4 linked regions of the Ovis aries genome follow. The protein of the gene in region 4 binds, or shares a complex with, the protein of the main gene of each other region. Links are inferred from orthologs where the notes say so. Each region holds a gene or a part of one and is shown on either strand. Other genes may lie near its edges.

What was found.
Region 1: AKAP13 (region 4) and NOD2 share a complex: the UniProt entries of both Homo sapiens proteins name them as parts of the signaling complex. The link is inferred for Ovis aries from reciprocal best matches to the Homo sapiens genes AKAP13 and NOD2.
Region 2: AKAP13 (region 4) and MAP2K3 share a complex: the UniProt entries of both Homo sapiens proteins name them as parts of the signaling complex. The link is inferred for Ovis aries from reciprocal best matches to the Homo sapiens genes AKAP13 and MAP2K3.
Region 3: AKAP13 (region 4) and PKN1 share a complex: the UniProt entries of both Homo sapiens proteins name them as parts of the signaling complex. The link is inferred for Ovis aries from reciprocal best matches to the Homo sapiens genes AKAP13 and PKN1.

What each region holds. Positions count from the first base shown.
Region 1 is NC_056067.1:18,635,357-18,640,114, reverse strand, and holds part of NOD2 (nucleotide-binding oligomerization domain-containing protein 2), read right to left. Parts: intron 3,376-4,758; coding exon 3,292-3,375; intron 1,287-3,291; coding exon 1,203-1,286; intron 138-1,202; coding exon 54-137; intron 1-53. UniProt on the Homo sapiens protein: Pattern recognition receptor (PRR) that detects bacterial peptidoglycan fragments and other danger signals and plays an important role in gastrointestinal immunity.
Region 2 is NC_056064.1:35,006,725-35,011,482, reverse strand, and holds part of MAP2K3 (dual specificity mitogen-activated protein kinase kinase 3), read right to left. Parts: intron 4,621-4,758; coding exon 4,572-4,620; intron 3,847-4,571; coding exon 3,733-3,846; intron 3,637-3,732; coding exon 3,517-3,636; intron 3,119-3,516; coding exon 3,002-3,118; intron 2,122-3,001; coding exon 2,070-2,121; intron 983-2,069; coding exon 855-982; intron 427-854; coding exon 349-426; intron 1-348. UniProt on the Homo sapiens protein: Dual specificity kinase. Is activated by cytokines and environmental stress in vivo. Catalyzes the concomitant phosphorylation of a threonine and a tyrosine residue in the MAP kinase p38.
Region 3 is NC_056058.1:9,634,943-9,639,700, reverse strand, and holds part of PKN1 (serine/threonine-protein kinase N1), read left to right. Parts: intron 1-1,031; coding exon 1,032-1,177; intron 1,178-1,365; coding exon 1,366-1,579; intron 1,580-2,573; coding exon 2,574-2,768; intron 2,769-4,758. UniProt on the Homo sapiens protein: PKC-related serine/threonine-protein kinase involved in various processes such as regulation of the intermediate filaments of the actin cytoskeleton, cell migration, tumor cell invasion and transcription regulation.
Region 4 is NC_056071.1:15,617,148-15,622,363, reverse strand, and holds the start of AKAP13 (A-kinase anchor protein 13), read right to left. Parts: upstream 3,698-5,216; 5' UTR 3,506-3,697; intron 1-3,505. UniProt on the Homo sapiens protein: Scaffold protein that plays an important role in assembling signaling complexes downstream of several types of G protein-coupled receptors.

The sequences.
Region 1 (4,758 bases), on a different chromosome or scaffold from region 4:
ATGAAAAAAGGCTGGTGTCTGCTTCCCTAGTGAAATGAATCCCCTAAACTCACCAGAGTTCTTCCAGGGCCATATTCTTTTCCAACATCAATGCTAAGGCTTGAGCACCCACGCTGCCAATGTTGTTCCCCACCAGGCTGGATGTAGTCAAAAAACAAAAATATGTCAGAGCAGTGAGGGACCTCAAAGATAACTCAAGGAGGGCAAAATGCACGGCACACATTGCCACAAGTCCTGGTCTGCTCCATTTCAGACTAATCCTTTGCAGTGCTCTTTCTCATTAAGTCCAGAAGCAGTTTTTTAGAATCCTTCCCAACATGGTTTGCTGAGCAGCTCCCACTAACAGACTGGAATTGACTCTTGAGATAAAGTGTAGCTGATCCAGGGCTTCCCTGGCGGCTGAGTGGTAAAGACTCCACCGGCCAGTGCAGGAGACACGGGTCCAATGCCTGGTCTAGGAAGATCCCATATGCCCTTATGACACTATTGAGGCTGTGCTCTAGAGCCCACGTGCAGCAACCACTGAGCCCGCGTGCCCTAGAGCCCGTGCTCCACGACAAGAGAAGCCCCCACACTGCAACCAGAGAGCAGCCCCCGCCCTTTACAACTAGAGGAAAGCAACCCTGCACTGCAACCAGAGAGCAGCCCCCCGCTCTTTACAACTAGAGAAAAGCAACAAAGACGCAGGACAGCCTAAAGGAAACAATGATTTTTAAAAAGTGTATCTGGTCCAGAGCTTCCCCAGTGGCTCAGTGGATAAAGAATCCGCCTGCAATGCAGGAGACACAGAAGATGTGGAAGACCCAGGTTCAGTCCCTGGGTTGGGAAGATCCCCTGGAGGAGGAAATGGCAACCCATTCCAGTGTTCTTGCCTGGAGAACCCCATGGTCAGAGGAGCCTGGCGGGCTACAGTCTATGGGATCTCAAAGAGTCAGAGACGACTGAGCGACTAAACTATCTGATCCAGCCCAAGATCTTCTGAGTACAGACAGGGAATCAAGACTCCTGAGAGGAAAAGGGATCCAACGTCACCCAGCAAGACTCCGGTGTCCTGACTTCAACTCCAGTGCTCTTTCCTTCTCATCCCGTTATCTAACACAGTGGGGTGAAAATAAAGTTCACAGACCTTCAAAACTGGCCCAAGCTCCTCCCTCCTCACACTGGCTTCCCCCACCAACTGCAGGACGAACTCTGAGGCTTACCTGAGCCACCTCAAGCTCTGGTGATCACCCAAAGCTGCAGCCAAGGCCTGGGCCCCCTCGTCACCCACCTGGTTGCCCCAGAACCTGAAAGGTTCAACAGAATAAACAGTGTCAGTGAGAACCTGCTTTGTGTTCAAGACACGTGCCCCTCCTCTCTGCAGCCCCAGGCAGAGGAGCAGGACTCCCCAGTCCCAGAAAGGTCTCAGGGGGACTCAGGTCCCAGCAAAGTGAGCCTGCCTCCATCTTTTTGGAGGGATGGAAAAACTTCAATTAGACTTTTTGGTTTCTTTAAATCAGACTTTCAAAATAGTTAGAGGCCCACCCAGTGCATATTCTCAGGGATGGGGACTCATTCTCAATGCCAAGTCACAGTTGTGACATTTTCCGACATTGGGTTAGACCTGCTTGTGCTCACTGCCACCCAGGAGTCCCTCGCTATCTCTAGGACCACCCAGAAGAAGGCGAACTCTTCTTCCAAACACTAGTTCTTCATCTCTTGCTCCTCTGTTATATCCCCAGTTCCTTCAGAGCCTCCAGTTCCTTTGGAGCCTCAAGCTCCTTCACCTTCTGGCTTCTCCTCCTCAGACCCACCCTAATTGGGAAACACCCCCTTCAAAGATGGAGCCCAGCTCATACTTTGGCACCTGGCCATTTCCCATGTGGGAAGTGAGGATGGACCCGGAGGTGCCCACATGGGCAGAGAGGACTGGGATGCTCACTGCACTTTCACTCATAAGGTGAACACTTACTGAGCTCTGGCCCCATGCCAGCACCACTCTACACTCCAGGGTGTGACACTGTAATAGCAAAAACCTGCCCACAACCTAAAGTGTGCATGACACCAACTAAACACATCACGACATCAAACCACTGGAATACTGAGCAGCTATTCTTTTTAAAAGTGAGGTCATGTGATATGAACAAAATAATACAGTGTTATAATACAGTATAATAATACAGTGTTAAGAAAAAAGCAAGTTACATAACAGTTTGTATCACGTGATAGTGCTTGAGGGTTTTAGCACAAGACCAAGACCAGACAGGTACCTTCATAAACAGGTGTTGAAAGCTAAACACCCCAGATGTGATCTCAAGAAGGAAGGAGCTCAGTGGGGGCCGCGGCCACCCTCTCCTAGACTCTGTGATGCTACTAATGCATTTTGGACAAGGTCTTATCTCTCCAGCAACACAGTCCCACTCGGGGCTCAAACACAGCCCACGGGCAACTTGCCTGTCTGTAAAATGAGTTGGAACACCTAGGCTCTAAAGTCATTCTTCCTACAGTCTTGGGTTCTAAAATCCCCCCCTTTTTTTTTTTTGTTTTGTTTTGTTTTCAAATAGACCCTAGTTTACACCAGGGCAAGATGGAACAGGAAAGAAGCTCCAGGGGACTGGACAGGTACAAGCCTGTCTGCCCAGCAAACAGAGAAAGCCCCACTTGGGGCCCGGAGGTCTGTGGACTGCCCTTCCCGCCTGTGTCCGACCCCTCTCCCCTGCCTGGCATGACCCCACAGGAAGCCAGGGCTCTGTAGGACCTGGTGCAGCCTCCTCCCATCCAAGGTCCAGGGTCCAAACTTCCCCACTTCCTTCTCTCCTTGGCTCTCACCCCAGGCTGCACATCATCTGGTAAGCTTTTTTACATTACTGATTCCAGACCTTGCATGTAGATAATTCATTTAATTAGCCTGGGGCAGATAGTGGCCTTCTTCAGGAGCCCAGTGGTTCCCACATATAGACCAAGGTAAGAAACACAGCTCCAGCGCTCTGGAGGACCAGAGGGCTTCCTGCCACTGCTCTGGGCTCTGCCCTCCCCCAACCCTGACATCCTGAGCTTCCTGTTTATTGAGCAAAAAGCAAGGCAGAGGCAACAAGGGCTGCCCACGCTCTCCCTCCCCATTGCAGCCTGGGCAGGGGGTGGAGGCGAGAGTTGGGGGTGGAGGCAGGAGGGGGGGTGGAGGCGGGAGGGGGGGTGAGGGGGTGGGGGTTGTCTCGGAGATCTTGGGGCTGAAGAGTTGGTTTCACAGGCTCCTAAATCCTCACAAGCCCTCAACCCCTGCGTGCTGCCCCTCTACCCTAGAATCCCACCTACCCCAAAAACTGCAAGGAGTTGTTAGTTCTGAGACCCTGGGCGAGCACCTCGGCTCCCGCGGCTGTGATGTGGTTGTTTCCTAGCCTGGAAGGGAAGACAGAAGAGAGACTGAGACAGAGAGCGGGGCAGGAGGACCCTTACTGGGCCCCAAGACCCGGGCCTGGGGAGGGGGGTGCACAGGGAGTGTGGCCCAGGCAGAGAAACAGGGACCAGTCCTCCAGCTCCAGCTGGAGACGCGGCGTGTGCTGCTGCAGCTCGGGGGCTCACTGAATGCTCCTGCGACTTCATTTTCCACCAGCAAGGGGAGAGGCATGCAAGGGCCTGTTCTGCAAAGCGCTGTGACAGGTAGGAGCAGGAACCACGACAGTCCAGGGAGGTGGCTTCCCCAGGGAGGGAGAGTGACTCACTCCTCCACCCTCTCCTCTGACTGCGGGCGGGCGCTGGACCCTGCTTTCCTCCCGCAGCCTGCCCCATCCACGGTGGCTGCAGGTGGCATCTACCTGTTTTGAAAGTGCCTGGGGGGTGGCGCTCTGGTGGCTGAAAGAAAGAAAGGGATCCTGCTAAGCCTTCAGGCAAGGGCGGAGGAGGGGGTTTCGGCAAAATTCGGGCACCTCAGAGAGTTTCAGGGAGGTCCCCGGAACTCTCACCCACAGCTCCAGGCTTCCTGGAATAATACTGCCAGTTTCATCTTTCAAAGAAATTTCATTCACTTTAAGCTGACAGACCTCTGACCTTCCTGGGTGACCAAGGGCCCCAGCTGCTGTGCTGGCAAGTCCAGTGCTCCCTCTGCCCCAAGGCCTGCTTCCCACGGGCTGCTCCCAGCCCAGGACTGGGAGACCTGAGCCTCCTCTGTCAGGCACACTGGCTGGAGGACTCCCCAGCAGCCTCTGTCTTCTCTCCAAACTGCACTGGGGTCCAAGATGCTTCCTCCTGACAACCTTCCTTCCCTCTCTCTCTCCCTCACGGTCAGACCTGCGGCTCTCCCAGCCTCCCCCTCCAGCTCCCTTTCCCAATTTCCCCCCATAGGGATTTCCCCCAGCAAATCCTTCCTTGGAGGACTGGACAAACAGGATCAACACGCTGAGAACTTATGTGATTTATCCACCATCTCTAGGGCACTAAGTCCACTATGGAAAGAACCTGGGATACTATGCCAGCTTTCTATGTATATTAACTTGTTTAATCGTCACAGGGCTTCCGCGGCAGCTCAGCTGGTAAAGAATCTGCCTACAATGCAGGAGACTCTGGTTCAGTTCCTGGGTCAGGAAGATCCCCTGGAGAAGGGATAGGCTACCCACTCCAGTATTCTTGGGATTCCCTGGTAGCTCAGCTGGTAAAGAATTCGCCTGCAATGCAGGAGACCCTGGTTCGATCCCTGGGTTGGGAAGATCATCTAGAGAAAGGAAAGGCTACCCACTCCAGTATTCTGGCCTGGAGGATTTCATGAACTACAGTCCATGGCATCAG
Region 2 (4,758 bases), on a different chromosome or scaffold from region 4:
CAGGGCAAGGCTGAGCCTCGCCACTGTCGTGAAGCCCTCGTGCACAAGGAGCCAGTTGGTCTTGGGCTGGCTGTGCATTCTCAGTGAGCACGAGCCCTGAGGAAGTCCAACAGGCAAGTGGTCACAGACGAGAGCGGCATAACGCTGCCCTAACCCAGGGAGGGCGTGAGGCACCTGCGGACACTCTGCTAAGGACCCCATAATCTTTGATGGCACTGTCTCTTCTCACATCGTGAAGCCAACCAACCCTTCTGTCCAGGCTAGACTATCTGGCCCCCAGAAGCTCACAGACCTGGCACAGCCCCCACCTGTGCTCCACCCGACCAGCAAGGGTGCCCCAGGACGTACCATGGTGATGCCGAGGCTCCAGACATCAGACTTGACATTGTAGCCTTTCTGGTTCAGCTCTGGGTTGATTCTCTCGGGCTGGAAGAGGAGCCAGAGCAGGGTCACCCAGGCCCCCTCAGCTGGGTCTGGTTGCCCCCCACAAAACGTAGGGGCCAGTGCTCACCCATCCTACCTCCCCCAGAGCAAGTGTGGAAGCTGAGGCTGGTGAGGGCCGGGGTCTCGAGGTGGAAGCCTAAGTCTTGCCACACAGCTGCCACACCTGGGGGTCTCACCTTGGGGTATCAGCAACTCCCACAGGCCCCACCAGCCACCCCGCTGAGGTGAAACCTATCATCCAAATGGACACGGTGGGGCCAGTCAGAAAGGGGTGGAGAGGGCTGAGCAGGAGACTCCCTCTAGAAGGAAATTCGGGGTCTGGGGAGGCCTCATTCCTGATGGAGCAGGACACAGCTAAGGTGCCTGAGCCTGGCTGTTTCCTCTGGGCATGACCTGGGCACCCCACTTACGGCCATGTAGGGTTTGCAGCCAGCATCCATTGTCTTAGCCACAGAATCCACCAAGTAACCACTGATCCCAAAGTCACACATCTTCACGTGGCCCTCCTTGTTGATAAGGACATTGGATGGCTTCACATCTGCCAGAAGTAGGACACGCCTTTCAGCTACTGGTTGTTGGCCCCCACTGCCCAGGTCAGAGCTGGTAGCCACACAGTCAGGAGCCCCAGCCTCCAGCCACAGGTGGGGAGAGAAGTTAGCTCCAGGGCTTCCCCCAGGACCGTGTCTTTGCAGCTTCACAGTTGGGACTCAGCCTCCACTTACCAGTGCAACCTCTGGCTCTGGGGTCCACCCAAATGCAGGGAACCCATCACTAACAGTATGAGCACTGTAAACCACCCAATATCCACCTTGAGGGGTCGGCAGTCTTGGCCAGGAAGCACAAGGCAACAGCTCAAACACGGGAGGCAGGTCTGTGGGAAATCCCAGAGCCCCAGGACTCAAGCTGGACATGGAGTGGGCACAGAGTGAGCTAGGGGGCACAGCGGGGCCGTCCAGCAAGCACACGCACGGGAGACATGTGCATCCCTCCTGCCTTTTACAAGGACATCTGCAGGGGCTCAGAGAGACGCCCAAAGGGGCCACGAAAACCTGCCAATAGCAGTGACCTGGGGACCACTCAGTGGTCAAAGGGGCTTAGCCCAGTGAACTCTGTGTGGAAAAGCAGACCCCTCAGAACACAGAGGGAGGGGACAGGCAGGACACACACAGCCCCACTGAGTCTCAGAATCATTGGCCCAACTGGGAGGCTGAGAACAAGCAAAACCAACCCCCATGAGAAAATCAGTGGAGTCGGGGACTGGGGCGTCACAGGGCAAGAAAGGGAGGGGAGGGTGGGCGTGACCCAGTATAAACGATGATCGGATTCGTGCAGCAGTACACATCCCACCTGCACACTCCTCAACACGTAAACAATACGTCAAGACAAGATGGGCTGGCCTTCCCAGGATGAAGATCAACCCTGTCCGTGCTCTGAGCACCAGGGAACAAAACTGGGACTGGGCCTGGGGGCTGACAGAAATGGCTGAGAGGAGTGGACAGCGGCCTGGACCCAGCGGGCACATTGCGGCCTGTCGCCTCCCAGAGCCTTGGCACTGGTCCCGGCAGGACCATGGGGACGTGTACGTGAGGCCAGGCCCCTCCTCCCCAGCCAGTCCAGGCACTGACCTCTATGGATCACGGACAGCTTGCTGTGCAGATGTTCCAGGGCCCTCACGATCTGGTGTTTGGGATGAGAGGTGGAGAGAGACAGGTCCATCAACAGTGACAGAGCCAGAAGGCTCCCCAGCCAGGGCGGTCTGTCGCCCTCTCCCAGGTCACACCCAGCCCCTCACCACCTGAGGCTCCCGCCCACATCCCAGCCTTTGCTGTAATGTCCTGGCCACCCTGATACTGATACACCTGGTTCCTGCACTGCTCTGAATGGGCCAGGGTCTCAGGTGATGTGACCAAGACCCTGGCGAGTCTGACTTATGAACCCCCAGAATGCTGTCCCTCCCTCCACCAGACTCCTGGGTAGAATCTGGCCCTTCTGCAGCGGGCTTGCATCCACCGCCCCCTCCCCTACCAGCAGTCACTGGGCTACATGCTCAGAGCCACTCCCCACAGGAATCACCCCAAAGATCCTGACTCAACGCCCTGGGCGGGGGGGGTATGTTTACATGTTCACAGCTGCGGTCAGGGATGAGGACCACAGGTACACAGACCCCATTCCCCTTCTGCTTTGGCTGTTGGGTGCTCATGCCCAGGGAGCCGCCTGCCCTAGGACATGCAAGCTCAAGACCCGTGGTTTTCTCCCCTGACCACATGCCTCTGCGAGCTGCCTCCAAGCATCTTCAGGATAAGGAAGCTGTGAACACTAAGTTCTCTTCTGTGGCCTCAAAACTCAGGAACTGCACAGGAAGGCCCAGAGATCCTGGTTCTGCCAAATCGGTGTGGCTCCAGGGCCCTGGGGTCTCCTGAGCAGGCTCTGGTCCAGGGTGGGGGCACCTGGGGCTTCCAAGGGCAACTGCCCAGCTGCAGGGCCACAGCTGGAGGCCACACGGGGGGCCCAGCTCTGCCCAAAACACTACCATTGGGACCCCCCCAACCCCACTTACAGACACAGCGATCTCCCCAAGAATGTCTTCTGGAATCGTCATGCCCTTGTCTAGCACCTTCCGATAGAACTTGTCCAGGGACGTGTCCATGAGCTCCATGCAGATCCACACATCTCCCTGCAGGTAGATAGCCATAGTTCAGCCACATCTGCCCAGGGCTACCTGGCCCAGCATCCTCCCCATGGAGCCAGCCAGCCCCTGACACACCTCCACCCCTCAGCCCTCAGGGGTTCTCTGACCTCCCAGCCCCTCCCCGACAAGGCTCGCCTACACTGCTGGGTCCACGCGGCAGCCTTCCCCGACTGTCACACTGGCTGTCCCCCATCAGACTCCTACTTCCACGGCTCATCCCAGCTCTGACCCTGGCCGATGGGTCCCTTCACCGGCAACATACTGTCCCCACCCCCACACCCCATCCAGGACAGCCTTCTGAGAAGGCTGGGTGCAGCATCCCCTGGGGTAAGCCCGAGCTCCTGGGCTCCCTGCCAGAGGGGAGGCTGGCTGTGTCTCCTCACCTCTCTAAAGAGGGCCCCGTAGAAGGTGACGGTATAGAAACAGTCCACTGTGCGCATGTTGACATCCAGGTCCATGAGCAGGCGCTTCTGCTCCTGAGAGTTCACGGTGGCTCGGATGCGCTGCGGGGGGAGGGGCTGCGGTTAGAGCCCGGGCCGCAGGGGTGCAGCCCCAGGTGCCCCCGGCTCTGATGGCCCTGGGTCGGGGACACTGCTCACCTTCACGGCCATGATGGTGCCACTCTGGGCATGCCGCACCTTCTCCACCACCCCATAGGCACCTCGGCCCAGCTCTGAAATGGTCACCAGGTCATCCGCCTCCACCTCAAAGTTCTTAGGGGACAGAAAGGAGAGAGGGTTCAGAAGGGCCAAGTCAGGCACCAGTGGAGATGCTGGGGCAGCAGAAAGAGAATCACCAGCCAGTCACCTGTGCTCAAGTCTTGCACCAGCCACTTCTGCTGTGTGTCCTGGGGTAAGTCATGTAACCTCTCTGAGCCTCCCCTCACCTTCTCTAAAACAGGCACAGCACCCACATCAGAAGGCTACTACAGGGTGTCAGCACATCAGCCTGGGAAACACTCTCAGCGGTGCTGGGCCCTAAAGAGATGCCCTTTTCCTCTCGCCCCACCCTCTTAGGTGGCCAGACTCACTTATTCATCACCTACAGTGTGTAAGTCCCTGTTTCAGGCTCTGAGGACACAGACAGGACAAAAGAAAGGCCTTGTCTCCCAGGGAGCAGCGGGGCCCTGGTCGCCCACCCTCCCTCTTGACCTGCTGCCAGAGGAAGCAAGCAGGCAGATGAACAAGACTCGTCAGCATGTCCTGTGGGCAGCACACGGCCTCCCAGGGGAACCACTGGCGTCGGGAGGTGCCAGTGAAATGCAGGCCCTTTGGGCAGAGCCAGGGATCTGCACACTGAGCACCGTGACTCTAGCTCCCCAGGGCCCAGGAGGTAGCCACCAGATGGGCCACCTGGTCAGCGTCGGGGAGCCAGCCCCCCTCCACAGCCCAGCTCTGTCTCCACCCACAGACACCTCCCAGGGTCTATTGACACCTACCCTGTCTCCAATGGTGATGAAAGCCCGGGAGTCCAGGTTCCGGGGGAGCCTGCAGGGGAGAGCGGAGGTGTGAGCCCCAGAGAGCTCTGCCCTCTCAAGGGGGTCCCCGCCCTCCCCCACAGTCACCAAGCATCTGCGGGGCAGCACATGGCCTGTCACATGGACATGCCCTCAGAAAGGCAAGGAG
Region 3 (4,758 bases), on a different chromosome or scaffold from region 4:
ATCTGACACCATTCCTGTTCCTCCAACTACGTTGTATTTCGTGGTGTGGGTGGTCACCGTTCATTCACTCAGACCCCTACTAGAGGAAGTGAGGTATCTTCCAATGTTTTGCTCTTAAAAAAAAAAGGCTATGAATAACCACGTATAATACATATATCAAGGGAAATTTCCTGGCAGTCTAGCGATTAGGACTCTGCACTTCCACTGCAGGGGAGGTGGGGGTGCAATTCAGTTCCTAGTCAGGGAACTAAGATCCCATATGCTGCATGGTATGGCCAAACAAGAACAAAAACAACACGTATCAAGTGCAAAGCTGTTTCTGTGGGATAAAGTACCTGAACTGAGATTGCTAAATCAAAAGGTAGATACATTTATAATTCTGACAGAAATCACCAAACTGCCTCCATTGGTTGGAAAGCAACTTGTATTCCCGTCAGCAGCGTATCTGTTCTTAAATGTGTGTTTTATTTTCGTTTATTTATTTGGCTGCATTGAGTCTTAGTTGGGGCACACAGGATCTTCATTGCATCATATGGGGTGTTTCCTTGCGGTACACAGACTCTCCAGTTGTGGTGCGCAGGCTCAGTAGTTGTAGGGACGTGGGCTTAGTTGCTCCGGAGCATGTGGGATCTTAGTCCCCTCACCAGGGATCAAACCTTCATCCACTGCAGTGGAAGGCAGGTTCTTAACTGCTGGACCACCAGGGAAGTTCCCTAAATATGTGTTGTGTGTCTGTATATAAGACTGCCCCTGGGTGGCAGCTTAACTACATCCCTGGGATTGGCTCTGTGGGGGATGGTGTCTGGATAAAAGAGTGACAGCATCCGGGTGCATGTGTGGCTGTCTGCCCATGGGTGACAGTGTGACTGTCCCCATGACCCCCTATCTTGGGAGGGAGTGATGCTTGTTGACGGCTATCTGTCCCTGGCCAGTGCCCTTACTACAGATGGCTGCATGTCTCTAGAACCAGGATGGTTGGAGACAGCCCAGGGCTCAGGCTGGCCTCACTGCCTCGTGTCTCACGCCCACAGGGAGTCCGGACCTGGGGGCAGTGGAGCTGCGCATCGAGGAGCTGCGTCACCACTTCCGAGTGGAGCACGCGGTGGCCGAGGGCGCCAAGAACGTGCTGCGCCTGCTCAGCGCCGCCAAGACTCCGGACCGCAAAGCCGTCAGCGAGGTGAGGGGCGGGGCGTCGACCCGGAGAGGTGGGGCTTCAGCAAGGGATGGGGACTCCTGTTTCAAGTCGGACCCAGATGATTTGAGGGCTGGGGCTTCCGGGGAGGAGCTCCAGGTGGGACCTCGCGGGCCTGGGGGAGGGGCGCGCCGGATCCCGTCCCCAGCCCGGCCAGGCTTCTCCCACCTCAGGCCCAGGAGAAGCTGACCGAGTCCAACCAGAAGCTGGGGCTGCTTCGGGAGGCGCTGGAGCGGCGGCTTGGGGAGCTACCCGCTGACCACCCGAAGGGGCGGCTGCTGCGCGAGGAGCTCGCCGCGGCTTCCTCCGCAGCCTTCAGCGCCCGCCTGGCCGGGCCGTTCCCCGCCACGCACTACAGCACCCTGAGCAAGCCTGCGCCACTCACAGGTAGGTCCCTACACCTCCCGTGTCCTCCCCCGCTTCCACCCAAATCAGGACCCCACCCCCCTAGCTCTAGACTCCTGCCCCTCTGAGCCCCCAGCCCCAAACCTGCAACTGGGATCTTCATTCTCCCCAGTCCTGGACTCCCATCCCACTGTCCCCTCCCTTCTCCATTCACCCCAACCCTGTAGCCCTGGGCCCCATTCCCCACGCCAGACAGACCCATGGACCCTAGACTTCCCACCCCACCTTGCCCTCCCAGAGACTCTTGCCCTTGTCTCCCCATCCTTGATCCTTGGGTGGGAAGATTCCCTGGAGATGGAAATGGCAACCCACTCTAGTATTCTTGCCTGGGAAATTCCATGGACAGAGGAGCCTGGTAGTCTGTAGTCCATGAGGTCGCAAAAGAGTCAGACACAGCTGAGTGACTAAACAACAACAGCAAGAATAGTCCCATCCTCACTTTCCCCATCCCACCGTGAAGGGGTGGCTTTCTGCTCTCTCCAGCCAGAGTCCTCGATTTCAGTCTCATAGTCCCTCACTCTCAGAATCCTCAGTCCTGAACCTCTGACCCCCCCACCCCCAGACTAGCCAGCCCCTCCCTTCTTAGATCCCTCAGCCACTACCTCCCCAGACCAGTCCTATCATAGACCCCAGCCCCAGTGTCAGATCTCAGACTAGCCTACCGAATCCTACCCTGGACCCCCCCAGTCCTACCTGGCTCACCACCGCCTGGACTTCCGGCCTGCACTCTGAACTGCTCTTCTGTCACTAAACCTCAGCATCTAGAGCCCTTCCCCAGACTGCCCCACCCCTCCCCCTTGTCCCCTGTTTCTCTCTTCTGGACACAGCCATCTCTGCAGCAGACCCCCTGCCTCACCCCGATTGTCCCTCACCAACTCCCCCTTGCACGCTGGCCACTTCTGCACATGCCCACTGCACCTGCAACCTTTGTCCTGCCCCAGATGTAACCCACCCCATGAGCCTGCCCCTCTCTCAGGGACCCTGGAGGTGCGTGTGGTGGGCTGCAGAGACCTTCCAGAGACCATCCCTTGGAACCCTTCACCTTCGGTGGGGGGGCCTGGGACCCCTGACAGCCGCACCCCCTTCCTGAGCCGCCCAGCCCGAGGTCTTTACAGCCGAACCGGAAGTCTCAGCGGCAGGAGCAGCCTCAAAGCTGAAGCCGAGAACACCAGTGAGTGGCACTGATGTCCGGGAGGGATGAGGTGGGGTAGGCTGGGGGTGGTTCCTGATTTCCCACATCGGTAACATTCTGAAAAAGTCGTTCATCACACTCATTAGGATGGATACTGTAAAATAGAACAAGATAAAGTAACAGGTGTTAGGGAGGATGTGGAGAAGCTGGAAGGCTTCTACACTGTTGGTGGGAATGTAAAATTGTGTGGCCACCGTGGAAAGCAGCATGGCAGGTCCTCACATAATGAACATAGAACTACCATAGATCTAATATTCCTACTCAAAAGAGTTGGAAGCCGGATCTCAAAGAGATTTTGGTATACACCCATGTTCATAGCAGCATTATTCACAGTGGTCAAAAGGCAGAAGCAACCCAGTGTCTGTTGATGGATGAATGGATAAACAAATTGTGGTCCATCCACACAGTGGATTCCAGAGAAGTCTATTCTGTAGAAATGGATTCTATTCTAGACAAATATATCTATAACGATGGTAAATTTTATGTTACAAGTTTTACCACAATGTGAAAAGAAGTGAATACACACGTTCAAAAGTATGAGTAAAAGAAGACTAACACTAAAGTAACTGCCTATGTTACCACTACTCAGGTCAAGAAATAGAATTCTCTGGATTTTTCAGCCTTAAAAAAGGACATTCTGAAACATGCCGCAACATGGATGAACTTGAGTACATCAGTGAGATAAACCAGCTGTAAAATGACAAGTGGGCTTCCCCGGTGGCTCAGTGGTAAAGAATCCGCCTGCCAGTGCAGGAGACCCGAGTTTGATCCCGGAGTTGGGGAGATTCCCCCGAGAAGAAAATGACAACCCACTCCAGTATCCTTGCCTGGGAAATCCCATGGACAGAGAAGCCTGGTGGGCTACAGTCCATGGGGTCACAAAAGAGTCGGATATGACTTAGCAGCTGAGCATGAGGGATACTTCTTGTCTTTTTGTTGTTGTTTAGTCCCTAAGTTGTGTCCGACTCTTTTGCAACCCCATAAACTGTAACCTGCCAGACTCCTCTGTCCGTGGGATTTCCCAGGCAAGAAAGCTGGAGCAAGTTGCCATTTCCTTCTCCGAGGGATCTTCCCAACCCAGGGAGTGAATCCCTGTGTTCAACCCATGTGCCTGCGCCTTCTGCATTGGCAGGCAGATTCTTCACCACTGAGCCACCTGGGAAGCCGACAAGTAGTGTAGGATTCTACTTACATGAAGTATCTACGTTGGTTACATTCATAGGGATGGAAAGAATAGTGGTTGCCAGTGGTTGAGGGGGAGGCGAAATGGAGAGTTATTGTTTACCAGGGACAGAGTTTCATGGGAAAGACGAAGAGTTCTGGAGATAACGGTGGTGATGATTGCACAACAGTATAAACGTACTTGGTACCACTGAGCTGTATGCTTGATAATGATGGTAAATTTCATGTGAGTTTTACCACAATGTGAAAAGAAACGAATGCACACGTGTAAAAGTATGAATAAAAGAAGAATGACAGTAGAGTAACCGCCTGTGTTACCACCACCCAGGTCGAGAGATAGAATTCTCTGGAAGCCCTCTCATGCCCCCTCCTCAATTCCAGCCCCTTCCTCTGTCCTAGAGGTAGCTACTCTCCTCACTCTCACCGCTGTCATTGCCTCGCCTTTCTTTGTAGTTTAAGCGCCCATGTACCATCTCAGAGCAATGCAGTTTAATTTGCCTGTGTTTAAACTGCACATATGTGGAATCATGCAGAATGTATTCCATGGAAACAGCTTCTTTTATTCAACATTGTGTGGGAGATTTATTCATACCGTTGCATGAAATTATACTTCATTCATTTTTAGCCCGGTTTAATTGTGTTAGACTGAGCCATATCAGATTGCTGTCTTTTTTTTTTTTTTTTTTTGGTAAAAAATAGTTGAATATAAGAGATTTCATGGTTTAGCTAATAACCCTATATTACCATGTATATGTTTAATTCATAGGCAGATGTTCTAGTTTAGAGC
Region 4 (5,216 bases):
ATATTTCTGGAATGTATCTATTCCACTTGGTATTGTGAATTTTCTAAATACGTTGGTATAACTGATTTAAATCACTGCTTCCTCCCACAAATGGTGGCACCTTCAAAAGCGTTTTTGAAGAGGAAGTAATACCACCTCTGTTAACCCACAGGCCAGTTCCATTTTAAGCAAGTTTGAGAAATGCAGTCATAATCCATATCAACTATTTTTCAAAATTAAGGTAAAATAAGGAAGAAGAGCTGGAAATAAATAACTCAGATACCCTACTCCAAGTCTTGAAAACAACCCATTTCTGACCATTTCCTAAACACTATAAATGCAGAGTTCTGTCCTACTGAGTCACACTGCCAGGCCCACTCAAAGATTAACAACTGATTGAGAAGATAAAACTGCTAATTCTATTAACGTTCAGCTCAACTTCACCTTTTAAAAAATTGCATTTAAGACTCAATTCCCAGAAGCATTCCCTCTTTTTTTTTTAACTGTTATACTAGGGGCACTACTTTTGTAGAATTAACAAATCAAAACATAACAAATAATTATATATATTACTATCAGTAGGAATACCACATATTATTTCACAACAGCCACTGTGCATTTCTTTTTAAAAAAAAATTAATTTATCTTAATTGAAAGCTTTACAATATTGTGGTGGTTTTTGCCACACATCAAGATGAATCAGCTACGGGTGGACATGTGTCCCCCATGCTGAATCCCCCCCCCAACCTCCCTCCCCACCCCATCCCTCTGGGCTGTCCCACAGCACCGGTTTTGAGTGTCCTGAGAAGCGTTCCCTCTTTATGTAAAACAGAGAAACCAGTATGCTCAGATGCATCAGACTTTTAAACATGCTTTAAATCATTCAAAAAAGTACCCAAATCACTGTCATTACAGCTACCAGATAGCAGGCATACTATGACGATCATCACACAGCTTCATTTATTTCTAAGAAGGCTCTAAAGTATGTTACTATACCTTACACGGTAGGAAGCCGAAGCTCAGAGGGGATAAGGGACCTGCCTACCCAGGTCAAGGCTACCCACCTAATCAACGGAAGGGTGGGGATTTGAATTCAAATTTACCTAATTCCAAAGAATGTGCGTTCTTCTACACTGTGCTACCTCCCCAGGTCACAACAGAGGTATAAACAGGCAGGGGAGTGAATGAATGGATGTGCCGGGCAGTCTTAGCCATTTCAACAAAAAAGGGAGAAATTTCCCCAATCAGAAACCACTTTACAAAATCCACAGCACACGATTTAAACCTCGATTCTTTTCAAGAAGTAATTAACGGGTTAACAGGAAAGGTCAGACATCCTTGTATGAAGTACAGTAAATCGCATTACAGGCCTGCAAGTAAGCTGTCACCGTGAACGAGTCCTCAGGTTCAGTGGTTCTCTGGGTCCCATGTTTGGGTGAAGTACCAATCAAGCCACTTCGCCCAATACAAATACCTCCTGAGCACCTGTGCTAAGACTCCTGGGCAAAGAGGCACACAGCTGAGACTCATCACAGCCCTGCGGAGTCAACAGGCTGGAAAAGGAGTCCATTTATATTACATATGCAGTAACTAGTCGTTAGGCAAAAAAAAATGAAGTGCAAGAAACCCTAAAAAAAAGATTTAAAAAAAATAAAGTGCAAGAAACCCTTAAAAAAGATATGTATAACATGCTATCAGAGAGGCAGAGGAACTGATCTGCTTGTCACTTAAGGTTCTAAGCAGTGTTTGTTTACATTTTGTCCCTCCCTGACAACTCCTTTCAACCTCTGTCAACCCCTCCTCCCAGCCCCCACCCCACCCCCTACATACAAGCCATCTAAAGCTGCACAACTTTGGGAAGGAAAACCCAAAGGGCAAGGATTATGACTCCTAAAACCAACCTTGTGGCTGTACTTCAAAAATCCAAGCTTATGCCATCAGGACATTTTTCTTTAGCTTTGGCAGGTGAACACAGTTGCAAAATGAGGCCAAAGAAACCAGAAAAACCCAGGGCACACCTCACATCGGTCACTCAGCAGGAGAAACCAATCCAAAGGCAAACTGACCCGCACGGTGTTTGGTTCGAAGTTTACTTGTTAATTTAACAGACGGCAAAGGAATACAAAACAATGGATAGAAACACATTCTGGTCATTTTCTTCCACCACGCAATTTGACAGACATTTATGCTGGATCCACCGTGGGGATTTAAACAGAATCATTCTGACTTCATAAGCCAAATGAACTGAATTCAGCAGAACGAAGCACCCAAAGCTTGACAACAGGGCTTGCCGTCTGCAAATCCCCAAGAGACCACGGAAGGCTACGGGACTGTAACAATGATTTATCACAGTTCCTTTACAAACTTGCTGAAAACGATTCTTCCAAGTGATTTTTCCAGCGTTTATCCTGATCTGGGGGATCCAACGATTTAAAAAAAAAAAATAGAAAAAGTCACTTATGAAAATAAAACGGGGGAGGGGGTTGCTGAACGAGAAAAAAAGGCACTGTTTTTTACTTTAGTTCCGTATGCCTGCGGCAACAAACTCTCAAAATAACTTCACTGAGGAGTGTTAAAAAGCTCAGACTGAACACCAAGTATTGCTCAATCCAACTTACATTTGTGAACTTCTGAGTTCACAGTTAAGATCTAGAAAACTAAATGCTACGGAGTCATTTTGTTCTAAGCACTATTACCAAAAAAAAACAAAACCCTATCCTTTCTTCTGATAGAAAAACTCTTGAGGACTTCCCCCATATTTATTTAAAAGTTTAACCTACTGGTTGACTTTGGTGGGGGGGGAAGAGGGGGGAAGGAAAAGGGGTTCAGTAAGTGGTATTTACCAAAAAAAAAAAAGTATTCTTTGGTTTCAAAGTTTGGCTGCACTTGAACTCGACAAGAGCGGAGCCCAGGCCACGGTCCCAAGGCGGGTCCCCCCCGGGCTGCACGTCTCCGACCCGCGCGGGCGCCCCGGCCGCGCCCCCGGGAGCAGGCGCCCAGGGCGCCCCCGCGAGGCCGGCCCGGCCCGGCGTGTTTACCGCTCGCCGCAGCCCCCGAGAGCCGCTCCCTCGAGTCCTCGGCACTTGTTCGCCGGCACCCGGACCGGTGGGACCCGCGGAGCAGCCGCAGCTCCCGGGGGCGGGGGGCGACTGCGGCCCCCGCTCCCGGAGGAGCCGACCCGGAGGTCCGGGCCCCGCCGGGATGCCTCGCGGGAAGGGGCCATCGCAGCCGGGCGGGACCGGCCGCGCCCCCCCAACCCGGGAGCGGAGGCGGCCCCGGGGTTGGGCTGCGGGAGCGGCGAGGCGCGCCGCGGCCCCGGGCAGACAATGCGTGATGGGGGGCCCGGGCTGAGGCGCGGGGAGCCGGGGGGCGATCCCGCGCGCCCATGCATCCCAGCCCGCGCGCGCCCCCGGCCGCACCCCAGCAGCCCCGCGCCCCCTCCCGGAGCGGCCCGCGATCCCCGCCGCGACCCCTCCTCTAACCGCAAAACTTCCCCCAACTCCGCCGAGTTCAATCGCGCTCTCACCGTGCGGTGCCCGGGGCTCCCCCGCGGGCCGAGCTGGAGCAGCTCCGCACCTTGGCCGCGGAGAAAGACAATAAGCGGCCGCTCCCCCGGCGGCGGCTTGGAAACTGCGGCGGCCGAAGCGAGGAGCGGGAGCGGCGACCTCGGCGGAGCCCAGGAGCCTCTCCGCAGCTGCTCCGGCTCGGCGCTAGCCCTGCCCACAGCCCCAAACCGCCCGCGCATGCGCCGCGCGCCGCTAGGGAGGTGGGCGGGACACCCAGGGGGCGGTAACGCCTCCGAGCCCGCCGTGAGTGAGCGCGGCGCCAGGAGCTGCGCGCCGGGGTTGCGCGGCAGAGCTGCCCATCAAACCCCTCCCGGCTAATAGGAAGGCGCCTGGGCGGCCCCTCAGGTTGCTAAGGAAGGCTGAGGTTGACGGCAGCTGCTGCGCTCCGGCGAAGTGATCAAAGTCGGGTGGCTGGTGGAGGTGCCGACTGATATGCTCACCCACCCTCTCCTCTGCTCCCTGACTCCGGAAACCGCCCTTCCTCTGTGTCAGGGTGCTCACCTGAGCGGCAGCACTTACCATAACACACCCTGAGATGATTTACTCTTCTCTTTCCCTCCCCTTGAAATCAGAAAGTGGGGTCTTTTCCAGAGAGTGGAGCGCAGTGCCTTTGAGAGTCGCTGCTAGGTATTCAACAAGTGTTTTAGTTAGATGGGTCGCTGGCGTATGATGGCATCGGGATTGTGACAGGGTATTCCGTGAACTTTGGGCTTTTCACCGCAAATCTTCAAGTTGCAAGGACATAAAAAATCATCTGGTCGCTTTTGAGAAACAAAATGTGGTCTCTTGGTACACGAAGAAGCTCATTTTGCAAGTTGTGCGTTTTAGTGTATATTGGGGAGAAACACCTATCACATCAAACGATTATTTCATTTATGTTGTTTCTTAGATAAAAATGAATCTACTTAGAGAAAAACTTTACGTAAAAAATGGACACACTTTATATGAACTTGATATAAGTTCAGAGATGTGCAAATTGATTGTAATCAAGGCAAGAACAGTGGTTACCTAGAGAGAGAAGCATTATTGGCTGGAAAGTGTAGGGCGGGTGCTGGGTACGTTTGGTATTTTGATCTGGATGGTAGATAACAAAGGTATAGACTTAGACGGTGAAAATTCATCCAGTGTACAATGAAGATTAGTGTACTTTTACACATATTCATATTTTTATATCAACTTAAAATACTTACAAACGATATGCCCCACAAAAATGTGAAGATGCAAGCGACTATCTTTTGTGAAACCCTGATCTAGTCAAGTTCCTACCAGAGTGGGGATTTTGTGGATACTTCCTGTTTGTATGGGAGACAGAGCCTCTGGCCCTCTATCGCTGCAGCTCCGGGCTCTTTCTTCTCCTCCAGTCTCGGCGGGGGCGTCAGGAAAGGGCCCCAACCGCCTCTGGCCCCACACCCTGCGCCGTCCTGTCCTAGGCCCCAGCAATCTGAGGCCGGCCAGTCGGCTTCTCACCAGCCCTCGCCCCACCCAAGCTTTCCCCACCCCAAATCCCTGGGAAGGAAAACGCCTCCTGCGAAATCTGTATGCAGGTCAAGAAGCAACTGTAGAACCCCACATGGAACAACAGACTGGTTCCAAATTGGGAAAGGAGTACTATCAAGTCTGTATATTGTCACCCTGCTTATTTAACTTAAATGCAGAGTACATCAAGCGAAG